3 linked regions of the Caenorhabditis elegans genome follow. The protein of the gene in region 1 purifies or fractionates together with the protein of each later gene. This does not show direct contact. Each region holds a gene or a part of one and is shown on either strand. Other genes may lie near its edges.

Region 1 (3,804 bases):
TTCGATTTGGTGCTTATTTTTGATGCATGCCACGATCAGCGGAGACCAGATTTGGTACTGAAAATCTTAAATTTTCTAAAAAGATATTTTATAATTTTCAGTGCGTCCAAGAAATCCACCGAGTTCTCAAGCCAAGCGGGATGTTCGCTATGGTAGAGGTGCTCGGCTCCAGTAACGTATACACCGATAAAGCCGCCATGGGCCCATTGGCTGCAATGATGTACGGGTGCTCCATGTTCCATTGTCTCCCTGTCGGAAGTAACTGCCCAGATGCTCTGTGTTATGGTGCAATGTGGGGGCAGAAACGTGCTACCGACCTGCTTAAAAAATGCGGATTCCCTGATGTGAAGGTTATTGATACCCCATATTTCCCTATTAATGTGATGTATTGTGCCCAGAAAAATTAGGGTACTATTGAAGCCTTTTAATATTTTAAGTCCGCACAAGACCTACTAAATTAATTTTGTTTAATTTTTGTTTGAAATAATTAAACTCTTTCATGGCTGGCTGGGGAATACAATTTATTTTAAATTTCCAAAAATTCTCAATCTTATGTCAGTTAAATACATTTAGAGACCCAAATATTTCTTCGCAATTCCCATCGCCTCATCGTCACTTGAAAAAGTCAATTGTGAAACTTCATTGAGCACATCCGAGTACAGCTCCGTGGTGCTGAAAATTTAAGTTTCGATTAAAAAAAACTACACTATAAACTCACAAGTATCTCTCTGCAAAGCTGTTCACAGTGGTCACAATCAATTTTCCCTTGTTCTCGGGGCGACTAGCCAGCTCCACGGCAGCGACGACGTTGGCTCCGGACGAGATTCCACCGAGAATTGCCTCCTCGTCGGCGAGTCGCCGCGCCATTTGCATCGCATCGTCAGACTTGATGCGCAAAATTTCCGTGAACAACGAGCGATCGACGTTTCCTGGCACAATGCCGGCACCGATTCCTAGAAGTTTATAATGATAAGAAATGAGTGATAACGAAATGTTAGCACTTTCAGACTCCCTCATATTATGAACTGGCAGAGTTTCAGCGAGATGGTTCTGAACCTCGACCGCAGCCGTGACTTTTAATCATTCTTACACGTAGTGCCAGGCTGTCTCATTACGGTTTGATCTACAAAAAATGCGGGAATTTTTTGCTCAAAAATATGTGACGTCAGCACGTTCTTAACCATACGACATTCAGTTGAGAACTCTGCGTCTCTTCTCCCGCATGTTTTGTAGATCTATGTAGATCATGCTAAACTGAGACACTCTAACACCACGTGCGACAGATGTTCACCATGGGACTATGAAAACCCGTGAATGTAAATCAAACCTTGAATTTTGTGTGGCCCTCTTGGCAGCCCACTCAAGACTGAACTCTCGTATGGCTCAACCGGGTAGATCTCAATATTCGGATTCTGCTCGCGGAGGTATCTTCCGACTCCTGTCACAGTTCCACTCGATCCTACACCAAAGCACACAATATCAACTTTTCCTTCGGTTTGCCTCCAAATTTCTGGCCCAGTGGTACGATAATGAGCGGCTGGATTGGCGGGATTCGAGAATTGATCAAGGCAATGAGCATTTGGAAGCTTATCGACAAGCATCTCCACTTTCTTAATAACTCCCGGATGTCCTTCAGCTGGATCGGACAGGATCACCTCGGCTCCGTAGGCTCGGAGCATGGCACGACGCTCAACGCTCATGGTGGCTGGCATCACGAGAATCACCTTGTATCTAAAAATATCTTATTAAAGTTTTAATTTTTTTTCCGCTGTAAAGTCAGTTGTCAAACCCTCGAATCTTTCCAATATGAGCCAAAGCGATGCCCAAATTTCCACTGGTTCCCTCAACGAGAACCGTTTTTCCGGGCACAATTGTTCCAGCTTTCTCGGCTTCGTCCACCATTGACTTGGCAATTCGATCCTTGACAGAGCACGATGGATTCAGATATTCCACTTTGACAGCTGAAATTTACAAATTTTCAGCGAAATTTCATAAAATATTGTTACCGATTCTGGCATCCAAGCCTTTGGAAATATTTCGGAGAAGCACCAATGGAGTATTTCCGATAGTGTCCCCACTATCCTGAACCATCAATTCACGAGACATTTTCTGAAAATACAAAAAATTGAAGTTTCAAACAGCAGAAATATGAAAAAAAGAGATTAGAAAATTTAAATTTTTATTTTTAAAAAGATGGTTTATTGACGAAGAAAAGTAAATACAAGACGTCAACTGACTCTGCCTCACAACAACATAGGAAGGGAGGAGATGCAAGCGGGAAGACTGTAGGTCACTATTCACCTGCAGGAAGCCCAAATAGATCAAAATATAGATAAAGACTTTTTGATCTCTGAATGTTACCTGACGCAGATTTATTTCTCAGCGAAAATTCCCGCTTTTATTTTAGATCAAACACTGATGGGACAGCATAACACTACAGCTTTATTCAAGTTAAAAAATTTTTTGTTGAAATGTTCACTTTTCAGAAATATTAGTTTTCGATTTCTAATAATTTCGACCGAAGTTTCAGACTTTTTGTGTCTAAAATATTGCAAGTAAAAATTACTTTAGGGGGGCGGAGCCTAGTAAACAAGGTAGATCAAAAATAAATTATGAGAAAAATGTGCGATTGTATTTTTTCGATAATATATCTATTTTGAAAGTAAGAATATTATATGAAAATATCCAAAGAAAACGGGAAAAATTCGAAAAGGCACAGTTTTAAATGTATCCGTCCTATAAAAAATCCATCTAAAAACTTCCGGCAAATTAATGTTCGACAACGGCATATCGGCAAATTGCTGGAAACTAAAAGTTCCGGCACATCGGCAATCCGGCAATTTAAACTAACTTTTCAATCAACTCTAGCAAGTTTAGAAATACTGTTCGTAAAAGTTTACAAAAGTTGGGCAAAATTGAAACTTGGCCGAAATTTGCCAAAAAGTCGGCTAAGAATTTGCGGAAACCACAAAATACGATGGAAGAAAAATCGAAAGACTGCAAGAATTCGGTGTAAAATGAAACCATTTATAACCCCACAATCATCACACTCCGCCTTGTCCATGTCGATTTATCATCGAAAATTTATGCGCCTACTTTCCGCTCGATTGCTCTATGTCTGAGTCTCCACTCCTTGCACATGTCTCTCGCGGTGAACGTGACTTTTCTGATTTTTGTACGCGTTAACTGATGGTCACCAAAAGTAAACATCCCTTTTTGGCAAGTGGTTCAGCGAAAAGTGCGAATTACAGGACATGTGCTTTTTTATTTTTTTAAAAGATGGATTTATTGGTTGACTTGAAATTTACAAATAAAAAAAGCGTATACCGTATTTCTTCTATTAATATGGCTGCAATACTATTTTTCGATGGTCTTCCCGCTTGCAATACTAATAGGGAGTGCAAGACTATTAGGGAGTGCAATACTAATGTTCAGAACATTTTCTGACTTTGAGCTTACTAGTTTTTTTCCAGAAAAAACTCGAATCTTATGTGAAAATTCAGAAAATTTGATTGTAATTGCAACAAAAAGGTACAATAACTTCAATTTCATAGAAATTTTACCAAAATTGTTGCAAAGTAGGCAAAAAATGTTGTTCAAATCTCAAAATTAGTAGGGTGGGTTTGTACCAAAAAAAAAGTAGATGCAAGACTATTAGGGAGTGCAACACTCATAGGGAGTGCAATACTAATTTTCGGAGGGTGTTCAAGGAGCAATACTAATAGGGAGTGCAAGTCTAATAGGGAGGCCATACTAATAGAAGAAATACGGTAAATACAAAAATTGTGCAGCTATTCATTTTAT
Region 2 (5,254 bases), on another chromosome or scaffold:
ACTGTGTTTGTTTGATCAGCGGGATAGTTTTGAAATAAAACTTGATTTTTCGATGAAGTAGGGATATTTCTCAAAAATGATTTTCTATTGAACCAACATATTAAAATTTAGCTACAGTAACCAAAAAAGGTCGTTTTCTTTGAATACTTCTGCATGGAGTACTGTAGCAAGAATTTCAGCTGCGTCGGGGATTACTGCTACCGTAACCTGCGAGCGGTGTCTGATTTTTTTAAAAGGTGGAAACTTAGAAATTCATGTGATTTTAGTGAAAAATAGTTTTTTTTTCCAAAATTTTTACGCTGTGCATTTCCTTTTTTTGGCATTGATTACAATTTCTCCCATTTTCCAGTGTATTTACCTCACATCATCCTCTGAATCAAAAACTTCATCCCCAACAGCTCCACCGAGATAATAATCATCATCCATTTTTTCAAAAGCAAGTCTACGCATCGTTGCTGCGGTCACTTCATCTGCTGGATATTGGTCATCGAACGTCTCATCGTCATCGTTGATCATCATCGTCTGCCGCTTCTTCTGAAAATAAAACACATTTATTACCCAAAAACACACCACAATACGAAGAAGGAAACACGATAAATACGAGAGAGTGTGAAAATGAAGAGAAAATGAGAAATAAATATATGTGTAGAAGAACCCATAAAGATGCAAATCACAAGAAAAATAAAAATGCTGAATAGAGTAGTAGATATAATAAAAACATATAAAGTTGGTTGGAACTAGTAAATGAATCATTATCTACAGGGGTCCGGGAATCCCGGATCGCGAAAAAATGTTTTTTTTAACTGAAAATTTCTGAATTATACTGTAGAATTGAGCCACAAAACTGAGTTTTTTCTGTAAAAATATTCGAATTAGAGCTCGGTACGAGTCTCCGCAGCAGATTGAGCCGCAGATTTTCCAGCAATTCTGCCAAACACCACACATTCAAGCAGGGAATTTCCAGCCAATCGATTGGAACCATGAACTCCGCCAGTGACTTCTCCAGCGGCAAAAAGGCCGACAATTGGCTTGCCATGCTCATCGATGACGCGGGTGGCCTCGTCGATTTTCAGGCCACCCATGGTGTAGTGGATTGCTGGGACGACGATTGCTGCGTAGATTGGCTCAGTCGGAGAGATTGCAGACACTGGGAACACCTGGAAATGGGAAATTATTACAGTTTCGGTATTTTTCGGCTAATTCCGATGCAAAAATAACTTTGTTTTTACAGTTTCGATATTTTTTTTTGCTGAACGATATTTTTTTAATTTTGAAAAAAAATTTAGGCTTGGGAAAGTTTAAATTGAAAATAGATCGTCAAATATTCGGGGAAAGATTTTCTCGATATTTTTCAACGTTTTACTCAAAGTTTCTAATAATACAATTTCAGCACAATTTTTCCTAAATCTATGAATTTTAGTTTTTCTTTCACTTTTCTGATTTTATAAAGTCTGTTTTAAAAGTAAATGCAATTTTGATCAACTTTTCAGAATTCTTAGTCATTTTTTCAAGAATTTTAAAATTAAAAATATTTGAATACCTTTTTGCCGAAAGGATCTTCAGATTTTCCATCAAAACTCTTCTGATATTCCTCCAAAGTGGTTTTAATAGCTGATTCGTCGATACCCAAAGCCTTTGCAAGCTCCGCGGAGTTCTCGTATTTCGCTGAAAAAAATCAGATTTCAGAGCAATAATACAATTTTCATAATATAAAACTAAAAATTAAAAAAATTAATTTGAAAAAGGGAATTTTTAAAAATTTCAGAAATTCCGGAAAAAAAAATTAGTTTTGGATTTAAAATGCTTTTAAACTCCAAAAAAAAGGAAGCTGATAAAATTTTCGACAAAAAAATCTTTAAACTGGGAATTTTTAATACGAAGATTTTGTCGAACTTATTCTCGAGAAGTGTTAATGGATTTCGAAAAAAAAAATGAAATTTGAAAAAAATTGTTTGGGATTTTTCAAATAACAAACAACTAATTTAAAAAATGTTTTCCAACTTTTTCACAGAAAAAAACCTACCAAAGAATTTCTTAACAATCGAATAAAAATTGAAAGCAGGTCTGCCAAAAGCCTCAACATTTGCTTCATTCATAATCATAATCGCCGCATTTCTTCCAGCAGATCCTCCTTGGAAACTCTCTTCAATTGGCTCAGCGAGCTCAAGAATCTTTCCAGTTAAATAATCGCGTCTTCCCAACTCATTTCCAAATCTTTGTCCCTTTGAGTTAATAAGCAGAGCTCCTTTTCCACGAATAGCCTCAGCCGCCAGGAACTTTGTTCCTGCTGATGGATCTTTTGGATCTACAAACGCTGTAGGATGAATCTGAATATTTTCCATTCCAATAATCTTTGCTCCAAGAGCTCTCGCAATTTTCACACCATCTCCTTTAGCGAATGCTCCATTTGTTGTTGGGAATCCGAATATTTCAGCTCCAAATTCCTTGAGCAAAGTTTCATCAGCAGAGAATCCACCGGTTGCAAGGATTACAGCGTCTCCGATGATCTTTGATTTCTCTCCAGAAGCTGATGTTACAATCTCGATTCCCGATACTTTTCCATTTTCTCTCAAAATTCCAACCATTTTAGTCTGAGTCAAAAGCTTGAAGGCTTCTGGATTCTCCGATTGCTTCTCATTAAGCCTTGTTCTCAATCTCTTCATAATTTCGAAACCAGCTGGTATTGGTCGTCCTTCCTTTGGAGATGGAATCCAATGAGTACGTGGTACAGAATGCCCACCACATAGATTCACATCAGTCAGATCCACTTCAACTCCACGCAGAAATTCAACAGCATCTGCTGAATTAGCAGCCAGAATTTCCACAAGTTTCTTGTCATTTTCAGAGTCTCCTGCACTCAGAGTGTCCTTGACAAGAAGTTCCGGCGAATCTTTGATTCCCAGTTTCTCCTGAGTTTCGGTTCCAGCACCGTTGATTCCGCTGGATGCCTGGAATATTTTTTTCAAGAAGTGAGGATATTGGACACTTTTTTTAAAAATCACCTAGACTTACTAAAACATTTTACTGTAATTTGGCATACTTAATTTTGAAATTTTTCAGAACGAGAATTTGTTACTCTTTTTTTTTATTTCCAGCTTTTTCACACGATTTAACTGTTTTTAAATTTGAAAATTTCTTACAATCGAAATTTTTTAATTTATCATATTTTTTCAGAGACGTTTCAGTTTTAAAGGAAAAAAAACAGAATATTATTTTTTTTCACAATTTGCAACTAATAGTAAAATAAATAACTTTTTCAGAAATTTGGAACAAAAAAATGCGAGAAAATAAATTTTAACAATCGATATTTCCAGAAGTTAAATAGATTTTTTTCAAAAATTCGCAAGATCTTACCTTCGCTGAATTTCCACCAGTATTTCCCTCTCCCTCTACCAAAATCACACGTCCACCTCCATTGATAATATCCAGTGAAGCAGACAGCCCGGCGAGCCCACCTCCAACAACAACGACAGTTGGCTCAGCATGAAGCACAGAAGCCATAACTGTAAGCGAAATGAGCACCCGAATCATCAAATGTCTGTCAATGGGGAAATTTCAACAACGGACACAAAGGGAAATTATAGAAAATGATAGAAAATTGGTTAAAACCGCCGAAAAAATTAGACAGAATTATTTTTTAAAAACCCATTATTTATGGAATGTCTAACATAGGAGAAAAACCGAAAAAAAGGGAAAATATAAAATAAATTAAAGCTGATTTTTGAATAAATATATTCACATGGATAAGGCATCTGGGAAGCATGAAAAAAAAGTGATGGGGAAAAACAATCAATAATTCATAACCGTAACTATTCACATTTACTTTTGATCTAGTAGTATCGATACTACAGTGCTCCACATAATGATACGGCCACCCCAAATTTTGGTATAACTCAAAACTGGGTTGAGATAGCAAAACATAGTTTCTTGTGAAAATGTTCGCTGTACTAACTTACTTTCAGATAAGTATTGGAAATATACCTGAACCGTTTGTAAAAAAGATAAACCATTTTTTCATGAAAAACCATATTTAAAAAATCCACAAAATGATACGGCCACCCTTGGTTTTCGTTTTCTTTTTTCGTTTTCTTTGCAATTTTTTTTGCTAAACGTTAAGTTTCATGTTCGTTTGTGTTTTTACAGTTATGGGTCGTGGAATAACTTCAACTGACTGCGAAAAAGGACAAATTGTGCCAAATTATCTCAAGGCTTCTCGAATCGTCAGATTTTTCGTGATTTGGAAACTTTCGAGAGATATGATCACTCGATATGCTTCCAATCCTGCCGCTTATTGCACAAAAAAGTCTTCTGGTCGCACACCTTTTCTTTCTGTCAGACCCAAAAAAAAAACCGTTCGTCGAGCATCCAATTGAACAGTGACTTGCTCGAAAAGTAGGAGCGAGATGAACCTGGCAGTGTCTGTTGAGGCCGTACGACATGTCCTTTTGAAGTCTCAGTTTAACAAAAGACGAAAATTAAGAAAGGCTCCATTCATTACCAAAAAACCGCCAAAACCGTATTCAGTTTGCTAAAATCAGTCAGGGAACTAACTGAAGACAAGTGAGGATTACGGTATAATCATTCAAGCCCAGTTTTTGGTTTCAGTTCATCTTCAGTGACGAGAAAAAGTTTAACTGTAATGAACCAGATTACTACCGTGATTAGTGGCACGATTTGAGAAAAGAAAAGATGAACTGAAACCAAAAACTGGGCTTGAATGATTATACCGTAATCCTCACTTGTCTTCAGTTAGTTCCCTGACTGATTTTAGCAAACTGAATACGGTTTTGGCGGTTTTTTGGTAATGAATGGAGCCTTTCTTAATTTTCGTCTTTTGTTAAACTGAGACTTCAAAAGAACATGTCGTACGGCCTCAACAGACACTGCCAGGTTCATCTCGCTCCTACTTTTCGAGCAAGTCACTGTTCAATTGGATGCTCGACGAACGGTTTTTTTTTTGGGTCTGACAGAAAGAAAAGGTGTGCGACCAGAAGACTTTTTTGTGCAATAAGCGGCAGGATTGGAAGCATATCGAGTGATCATATCTCTCGAAAGTTTCAAATCACGAAAAATCTGACGATTCGAGAAGCCTTGAGATAATTTGGCACAATTTGTCCTTTTTCGTAGTCAGTTGAAGTTATTCCACGACCCATAGCTGTAAAAACACAAACGAACATGAAACTTAACGTTTAGCAAAAAAAATTGCAAAGAAAACGAAAAAAGAAAACGAAAACCAAGGGTGGCCGTATCATTT
Region 3 (8,020 bases), on another chromosome or scaffold:
CAGCAGTGTGAGTATATTTCGGAATAAAAATAACAACCCAATTAATTTTCAGTGGTACCCATTCAAGAAGAAGACGTGGTGATTTTTTGCAAATTTTCTCAGAATTTTTAAGAGCGAATATTTGTTAAAGTTAAGGGTACCCATTTCAAATAATTCATTCAGGATCATAGTATTTTGAAGATAATAAAAAACATAATTTTTTACAAATTGTCTAATACAATACGTTACAAATTAAAATGCAAAGTTGGAAACAGTGAAAAATTCTCAAATTCAACTTGTTTTCAAACCGCATCTCCTATCTCTCGTTTTGGTATACTTGCTTTGCGGTCGACACTTTGTGAATTGTTCATCATGGTACGACATATCCCGGGTTTCCGGGAACGATGTTAATTTTTTTCAGCGGAAAAGACATTTTCGGTAGACTTTCAACTTTTCCAAGCATAAATTTGATAAATAACCTGATGAGTTCCCCTAAAACTACATGTTTCTACTCTTAAAGGTGGAGTACCGAAATTAGAGACTCTGTTTTTTTAGAACAAAATGAGCCCAAAACTACCGAATTTTGTGATGAGACGTTCTGAAAATTTCTTTAAAAAAAGTTATGAAGGTTCAAAGTTTTAGAAAATAAGGCCCATTTTCAGCTAAAATCGAAATTTTATCTAATTTCTCGGTGTTGCAACGTTTGGAATTGAATTTTTATTTATTCATCTCTTTTTAATAAATAATGTGGCCTTTGATTGGGCGTTTATTCGTTGATTTAAGTACATTTATGGTCAGTGAGGCACAAAATGTAACTTTTATTTGTGCCCCAAAGACCATAAATGTAGTTAAATCAACGAATAAACGCCCAATCAATGACCACAATATTTATTAAAAAGTGATGAATAAATGAAAATTCAATTCCAGACGTTGCGACACCGAGAAGTTGGAAAAAATTTTGATTTTAGCTGAAAATGGGCCTTATTTTCTAAAACTTTGAACCGTCATAACTTTTTTTTTTGAGAAATTTTCAGAACGTCTCATTACAAAATTCGGTAGGTTTGGACTCATTTTGGTCTAAGAAAACAGAGTCACTAATTTCGGTACTCCACCTTTAATATGTTATTTTTTAATTCAGCAAAATTAATAAAATAAAATAATCGAACATACTTTAATGACTATGCGAAATTGTAGAAGTTTTCTGCTTTTTTTTAGCAATATTTCCGGAATAACCTCTTTCAAAAAGCGAAAATTATATAAACTTCTCGAAACAGTACGCTATTTTATTTAGTAGTTATTTACGGTTTCAAGAATATTACACTGGCTATTCGTTTTTCTTTTTTTTTTTCAACAGCTTCACATCCCTAAATTTCCTAACAAATATTAAAAATTAAAGTCAAAATTCGTCGGCAGTTTTATGGACAATATGAAACAGCATATATATGATTTCTCGCCAACAAATGCTCAATTTTATGAGATTAGTACTAAATTTCAAAGATACACACACTGAACCCATCAAATTTCTCAAAATAGTGAACATACATATAGCCATAGTGAAACAGTCGATTTTTTTGTTACAACATAAAAGCACTCACCATCAGTATCCTTCAACTCATCAATAATCTTGCATGCTGTCTGATCAGTCAATCTCAAATCTTCCGGCTTTCCAGAAGTACAAACCCATCGGAATGGTCCAAATCCCATTGAAAAGATGTCTCTGAAACAGAATTTATTTTATTTAAATTGTACTCTTTTCAAATAATTATTACCCCATAATATCCTGCATATAACTTGGATATCTAAACGATTTATCATCCTGAGCATCCTCTCTGAGCAAATTGGCTCCAGCTCTCTGGCATTCCAAAAGGAAAGCATTACCGTAATCCCAGAAGTACATTCCCTTTGCAGCAATCTTGTCGATGGCGGCGATTTGGCGGATTAAAGAGTTTTGAACAAGTTTTTTGAATTTTACAGGATCAGAAGTCATCATTTGATTGGATTGTTCAAAAGTGAGTCCAGCAGGGTAAAAACCTCCAAGGAATGGATTGTGGAGAGAAGTTTGGTCACTTCCCAGTTCTACAAGACATTCCGGTTCCTCGGCGAGCCGTTCCCTGGAATTTTGAAAACTCATAGTTTTTTGTCTAGAATTTTTGTGAATAATGTTTTACCAAGTTTATTAATTGTGAAAAATCTTTGTAAAAAATTCTGTAATTTAAAAAAAATCTTGGTTCCGAAACTATGAGATATATTATTTGTATTACAATTTTTTCCGCTTTTCTCGTTTCCTTTAATTATTTTCCCTCTTGCTCCGTAGATCGCCTTTCACACTTTCATAAAAAAATTTAACAACTTTCTGAAACAGTAAAATTTTCTAAAACTCACCACAAGTCAACAACATTCCCCAAATATCCAATACTAATTGCCTCTTTTTTCTCTCTGTACTCTTTAATCCAATTCACAATTTCCTCAAGATCCTTCGAATATACATCCAACCATCCCTGTTGATGACGTTTCAACAATGCAGTATCACTAATTTCCGCAATAACTCCAATACATCCAGCAATCTTAGCTGCTTTTGGTTGAGCTCCACTCATTCCTCCAAGTCCTGCAGTTACGAAAACCTTACCAGCAAGGGAATCCAGTCCCATACGACGACCAGCGTTGAGGACTGTGATCTGGAGAATTTTTACTGTTTCAGGGGGTTCAGAAATTCAGGAGAGTTGTGATGAAATTAATCGGACAAGAAGAATAGATCGAGAAAAACTCATATAGTGACGTCACTATTTTTCTATATGGGTAGAAAAGCTGTAATCTGTTGCATCTGGTCTCGAATCATTTAGATTTCTTTAAAATATTATAAAGTGAAAAGACTTTCAACTTTCTGCTTCTAATAAGTCAATTTTGAAAAACCTTAAGAAAATTACGAAATTCAAATTAAAAAAAAATGTTATCAGTTCTGGTTCATTATGTAACTACTGAAAAAATAAAAATAAAATTTACAAAAATTTATTTTTTCACAGTTTCTACATATTTTAGGGCTTTGTAAGATAGCTATTCGACTCTATTTAAGGTGGAGTACCGAAATCTGAGATTTTGCTTTTTCCGACCCAAGATTCCCCAAAAACTACTGAATTTCGTAACGAGACATTTTGAAAATTTCTCAAAAAAAAAAGTTATGGCGGTTCAAAGTTCTGATAAAAAAGGTCTCATTTTCAGCTAAAATCAAAAATTTTGTCATCTTCTAAGTGTCTGGAACTAAATTTTTGTTAAATTATCACTCTTTAATAAATACTGTGGTTAGTTGAAGTAAGTAAATTTTTTCAGTGGGACAAAATATTATCAGCTTTGGTTCATTATGTAACTCTTGAAAAAAAAATTACAAATTTCAGAAATTTATTGTTTCATTGTGTCTACATATTTTAGGACTTAGAGAGTTAGCTATTAGGAAGGTTTTCAAGAGAACACCGCTATAAATTAAAGCAATATATCAAGTTTTCTTGACGCCACTTCTCTACTACTTTGGTGGAGTTTGGATTATAAAATAACTAGAATAATACACAAAAACTTAACAAAAATCATTCAAATACTATCTGAAACCGTTGTATACTGAAAACCTTCTGTGTAGCCCATATCCCAGAATAAAATTTACTGTTTCAGTGTGTTCATATATTCTGGCAGTAATAAGGTGTTTAATGCCAAAACTTCAGCTTTGGTTCATTATATAACTATTTAAAAAAAAAAATAAAATTTACAAAAATTTAATGTTTCACAGTGTCCGTATATTTTAGGGCTGAGTTAGTTATTAGAAATAACATGTTTTCTTTGAGTCACTTCTCTACTACATTGGTGCAGTTTGGATTATATAAATGACAAGAATCATATTCAGAAAAAAAAACAAAAATCTTGAAATCCTTGAATTTTTGCCTTTGAAATTCCATCTAAAACCGTTGTATACTGAAAACCTTCTGCTTTGCCCATTTTCCAAAATAAATTTGACTGTTTTAGTGTGTTCATTAAATTTGACGGTAATACGGTGTTTTAATGCCAAACTCCATTTAACGGCTTACCGTAGTCCCGTGTACAATTCCCTGTGGTCCAATATAACAGAAACTTCCAGCAGTCATTTGTCCGTACTGCGTCACTCCTAATGCAAAATACTTGTCGTACAGCTCCTTTGTCGAGTAGCTCGGGATCATCTGAAATGTCAAAATGTACGAAGCATCCTAGTTTCCAAAGGCCTACCATTCCATTAGTAACAGTCATTCTTGGCGAGTCCGGGGTTGATGGAAATAGGCCCAATGGGTGTCCGGAATAGAGCACCAAAGTTTGATGGTCAGTCATTGTGTAGAGGTAACGAAGAACCAGACGGAATTGGATCCAATTGCTGAAATATCATTTCTCAAGCATTTCAGAAAGATTCCCATGCTAACCTAAAAACTTGACCATTTCCTCCATAAGTCACCAATTCCTGTGGAAACTGGGCAACCCGCTTGTCCAAATTGTTTAGAATCATCAAAATGATAGCCGATGCTTGTTCGCAATGAGCTCCGATCTCCGAGACGGGCGGCGCGAATAGATCAAAGTTTGGCATGAACCGATACCCATAGATGTGTCCATAGGTGTTGAGCTCTTCAGCGAACTCGGTGGCTAGAAGGACGTGATGCTCTTTTGGAATGTAGCGGAGAGCATTGCGGACGGCGAGCTGGAAGAATTTTATAGTTGAAGCTGGTTGGGACCTGCATTGAAGTTCGAAACAATAAATTTTGGAATTCCACTTGTATTTTATCAAGTAAGTGAAACAGACTTTTGTAACTAATAGCCAACAGCTTTTCAGCTCCTAAATTAAAATTTGATCTGATTCTTGATCTTCTTGATTGTTCTTGATCTCGAAAACTACATAGCCTACCGACTTCAAAAACTGCTCCAAAATTGCAAAAAAATTGTAAATTTTGTTACAGTCTTCTCTTACTTTTTTCTGAACTAGAATTGGCACAACAACTTCATTCAATTAATTGGTATCTCCCAAATTGCGCCGAGCACAGAGAACACTGTGCAACCCGGGAGATGTCGGAACAATAAATTATAACATTGATCTCATTGCAAATAGTTTACCATAATTAGGAGTAGATTTGAAAAATTAAAGGTAAAAATGTTCACTGTTCCAAATATTGCATTTCAATTTGTAAAAAGTTCTATTAGTTAGTCAGTGTAGCATTTAAACTTCTTGATGCAACAAAAAAAAGCTAATTTTATTAAAAACTAGGCAAAAAATTTCAGAGTTTAGCCAAATTTTTCTAAAAAATTTGTTAGTTTAGGCTCATTTTCAGCCAACTTGTCAAAGATTATGTTTCACAGTCTTCTTTAAAGCGCTCAATGAAACAATGAAACTGTTTTTGCAGTTTCAAAAAATTCATTTGAAAAGAAAAAATTCCAAGTCAAGTGCCTAAACGTTTTTAATGAAACAGTACATTTTTTTTATCTTTTCAAAGATAAATTTATTACCATTTTCTCTGTCTGTGTAAGATTACACGGACGCTTTGGTGCGTGAGCCACATTCTTGGCACGTTGCTCCGTTGGATGCTCGAGGAGCGGAGAGAATGGGTCGACGAAGAGAGATGGGATGTTCATGCTGGAAAATTGAGTCTTCACAAACCGAGTCAACAGTATACGAAATTAGAAAAATCAACAGTAAAAACATTTTCTCAATGTGATGAAACAGTAATTTTTAAAAAATAAAATTTAAAAAAAAATTTCTAGAAAATTCTAGAAGTTACCAGATTTTTCTAAAAAATTCTTAAAGTTCCCACATTTTTCTAGAAAATTACAGAAGTTTATAGATTTCTCTGGAAATTTCTAGAAGTTTCCAGTTTTGTTCTAGAAAATTCTAGTAGTTTCCAGATTTTTCTAGAGCATTCTAGAAGTTTTAATACAATTTATTGGTATAGTTCATAAAATTGACAATTGCCGAATTCCAAATTTCGGTAAAATTTCGGCACTCATCAAAAAACTAACCTCAAAATTTGCCAACAAAACCGAACTTATTCTGATCAGCAATGAAAGATTTCTCGTGAATGTTCGACTTCTCCTCCCCCTTCTCCCACGTGGTATGTTCCTTCCCGCCCAATAGATCACCGCCATAAAATTCTCTGTTTTGATGATTCTCGTCTTCTGGTTCCAGGTTACGATCCTTGACGACGACGAAACGGTCGGATGATTGCATTTTTATTGGTTAGTTTCAAGGTGTGTGTGTGTGTATTTGGAAGAGAAAGATGATAAGATCTGAATGCAGAATCTCGCGATTGGGTAGAATTCGAAAATAGAACATTGGGACTTTAAAATTATTTATAAAATTAATTTTTTAGTTACTGTTTCCGCTAGTTGTTATAAATCGGTGATATATATTAAGAGTTTTATTGGAAACACAACTTTCAGAGCTTATAAATTTGACCGTTTCAACTAGTTGTTATAAAACTGCAATTTATTTGTTGCTTACTACCTACATCACATTTGTAAGTTAAAACTGTAAAACGAATTAAAATCTTTGGAAAAACAGTTTTTTCTGTTTTTTGTTTGTTTTTTGGTCCGAAGAATTTCGAAAAGAAATACCAAATTTTGCTTAAAGCATCCATAAAAAATTATAAAATAGAACATTGGATTTAACGCGAATTTAGTGGAAATTAACCGTGAGGCTATGAAATAAAAAATTACAGTTTCAGCTAGTTGCTATGTAGATGCAGTTTTATATTTCCTCACTGAAGCGACTAAAATTACAACATTTTGAATTCTTGCAGAATTTTTGAAATTGAAAAAAAATACAGGAGGAAGGTCTTACCAAAAAAAGTTTTTGATCAAAAATAAAAATAAAAAAGTTTTTTTTTTGAAATATAGTTTTCTTTTGGTTTTTGGCCCGAAAAAAAACAGAACATTTAAGAGAACAGTTCAGCACTTTAGTCCTCCAGGTGTGCTGCTGGACCACCAGGATTCTGAGGAGCTCCAGTACAAGATAGAGCTCTAGAAAATTATGTTTCTTACGGGAACACCCGAAACACGGGTCAAATTGACCGTGAGACTATCCAATTAAATTACAGTTTCAGCGTGTTCTTATGTACAACACGCTGAAACTGTAAATTTATTGGATAGTCTCACGGTATACCCAAACCACCTGCACAATTTTTACTTCAAGCTCAGAATCGCAAATTTGGCTCAAATTGAACGTGAGACTATAAAATAAAATCGCAGTTTCAACTAGCTGCTATGTACTAGTGAACATTCTTATTTCTCATTAATCTTTTTCTGATATTTGCTGTAAATTACAAAATGTCTTGTTAATTACAAAAACTAAGGTTTCCATGAAGGCGTTCAAATTCCCACCTGCCTGACCTTAAGGCGATCTCCGCCTGCCTCTTGCCTCAATACGCGCCTTATTCTAAAACATACACGAACTATTTGTTTTTTCATATCTTAATTTGATTTTCAACAAAATTATTGAAATGAGAAAAAAACGTAAAAATGCGATTCGAGGCAGGCGTCAGGTCCCTGAAACCGCGCCTACCTATTATGGAAGATCCAATTCTAATCCAATCCAAATATGGAATGTAAACGGCACTGCAAGTTTGTAATTAAATCACAATGTTTGAAAAAAAAAACAGATTTTTACAATTTGACAGTTTCAATTAGTTTTTATAAAAATGGCATTTGTTTTTGATTTAGTAAAAATCTTAGTAAAAGAACCAAAAAAAAAAACTACGAATTTTGTTTTAAACTCCCCGACTGAAAATTAAAATTCGTCCAAAAACAAAAAACAATACAAAAAATACTTTAGGTATGTTGCTGGACTACCAGAACATGACGGAGCTCCACTAAATTATGTTTCATCGGGAACATCCTAAAAATAAAAAAAAATTAAATTACCGTTTCAGCTTATGTACAAGAAATTTCTTTTTTTTGTTCGGTTGCTAACCCGACTTCTATCTTAACTATGAAATTAGTTTTTTTTTTCAATTCTTGCACCGTTTTTTAAGGTTTCAACTAGCTTTTATAA

The links. The genes of interacting proteins can lie anywhere in the genome.
Region 2: the proteins of cysl-3 (region 1) and F48E8.3 fractionate together in Caenorhabditis elegans (co-fractionation; one large-scale study listed by BioGRID). This does not show direct contact.
Region 3: the proteins of cysl-3 (region 1) and uroc-1 fractionate together in Caenorhabditis elegans (co-fractionation; one large-scale study listed by BioGRID). This does not show direct contact.

What each region holds. Positions count from the first base shown.
Region 1 is NC_003283.11:3,774,028-3,777,831, forward strand, and holds cysl-3 (Cysteine synthase 3), read right to left. Parts: upstream 2,110-3,804; 5' UTR 2,107-2,109; coding exon 2,007-2,106; intron 1,962-2,006; coding exon 1,790-1,961; intron 1,732-1,789; coding exon 1,328-1,731; intron 954-1,327; coding exon 719-953; intron 673-718; coding exon 570-672; 3' UTR 509-569; downstream 1-508. Other genes in the region: rips-1 (Methyltransferase domain-containing protein), read left to right, coding at 1-54, 102-407; R08F11.1 (Non-lysosomal glucosylceramidase), read right to left, coding at 3,801-3,804. UniProt on the Caenorhabditis elegans protein: Primarily catalyzes the formation of cysteine and acetate from O-acetylserine and hydrogen sulfide.
Region 2 is NC_003281.10:5,459,663-5,464,916, reverse strand, and holds F48E8.3 (fumarate reductase (NADH)), read right to left. Parts: upstream 3,539-5,254; 5' UTR 3,502-3,538; coding exon 3,355-3,501; intron 2,949-3,354; coding exon 2,024-2,948; intron 1,666-2,023; coding exon 1,541-1,665; intron 1,158-1,540; coding exon 873-1,157; 3' UTR 535-872; downstream 1-534. Other genes in the region: F48E8.2 (E2F-associated phosphoprotein), read right to left, coding at 359-519.
Region 3 is NC_003282.8:16,536,716-16,544,735, forward strand, and holds the start of uroc-1 (putative urocanate hydratase), read right to left. Parts: upstream 6,035-8,020; 5' UTR 5,992-6,034; intron 5,653-5,991; exon of another isoform or gene 5,632-5,652; intron 5,609-5,631; 5' UTR 5,608-5,608; coding exon 5,482-5,607; intron 5,204-5,481; exon of another isoform or gene 5,179-5,203; intron 4,739-5,178; exon of another isoform or gene 4,712-4,738; intron 4,682-4,711; coding exon 4,410-4,681; intron 4,364-4,409; coding exon 4,222-4,363; intron 4,176-4,221; coding exon 4,047-4,175; intron 4,043-4,046; exon of another isoform or gene 4,022-4,042; intron 4,011-4,021; exon of another isoform or gene 3,990-4,010; intron 3,694-3,989; exon of another isoform or gene 3,673-3,693; intron 3,443-3,672; exon of another isoform or gene 3,422-3,442; intron 3,056-3,421; exon of another isoform or gene 3,035-3,055; intron 2,736-3,034; exon of another isoform or gene 2,715-2,735; intron 2,655-2,714; coding exon 2,362-2,654; intron 2,295-2,361; exon of another isoform or gene 2,274-2,294; intron 2,091-2,273; coding exon 1,749-2,090; intron 1,697-1,748; coding exon 1,575-1,696; intron 1,495-1,574; exon of another isoform or gene 1,474-1,494; intron 1,370-1,473; and 10 more.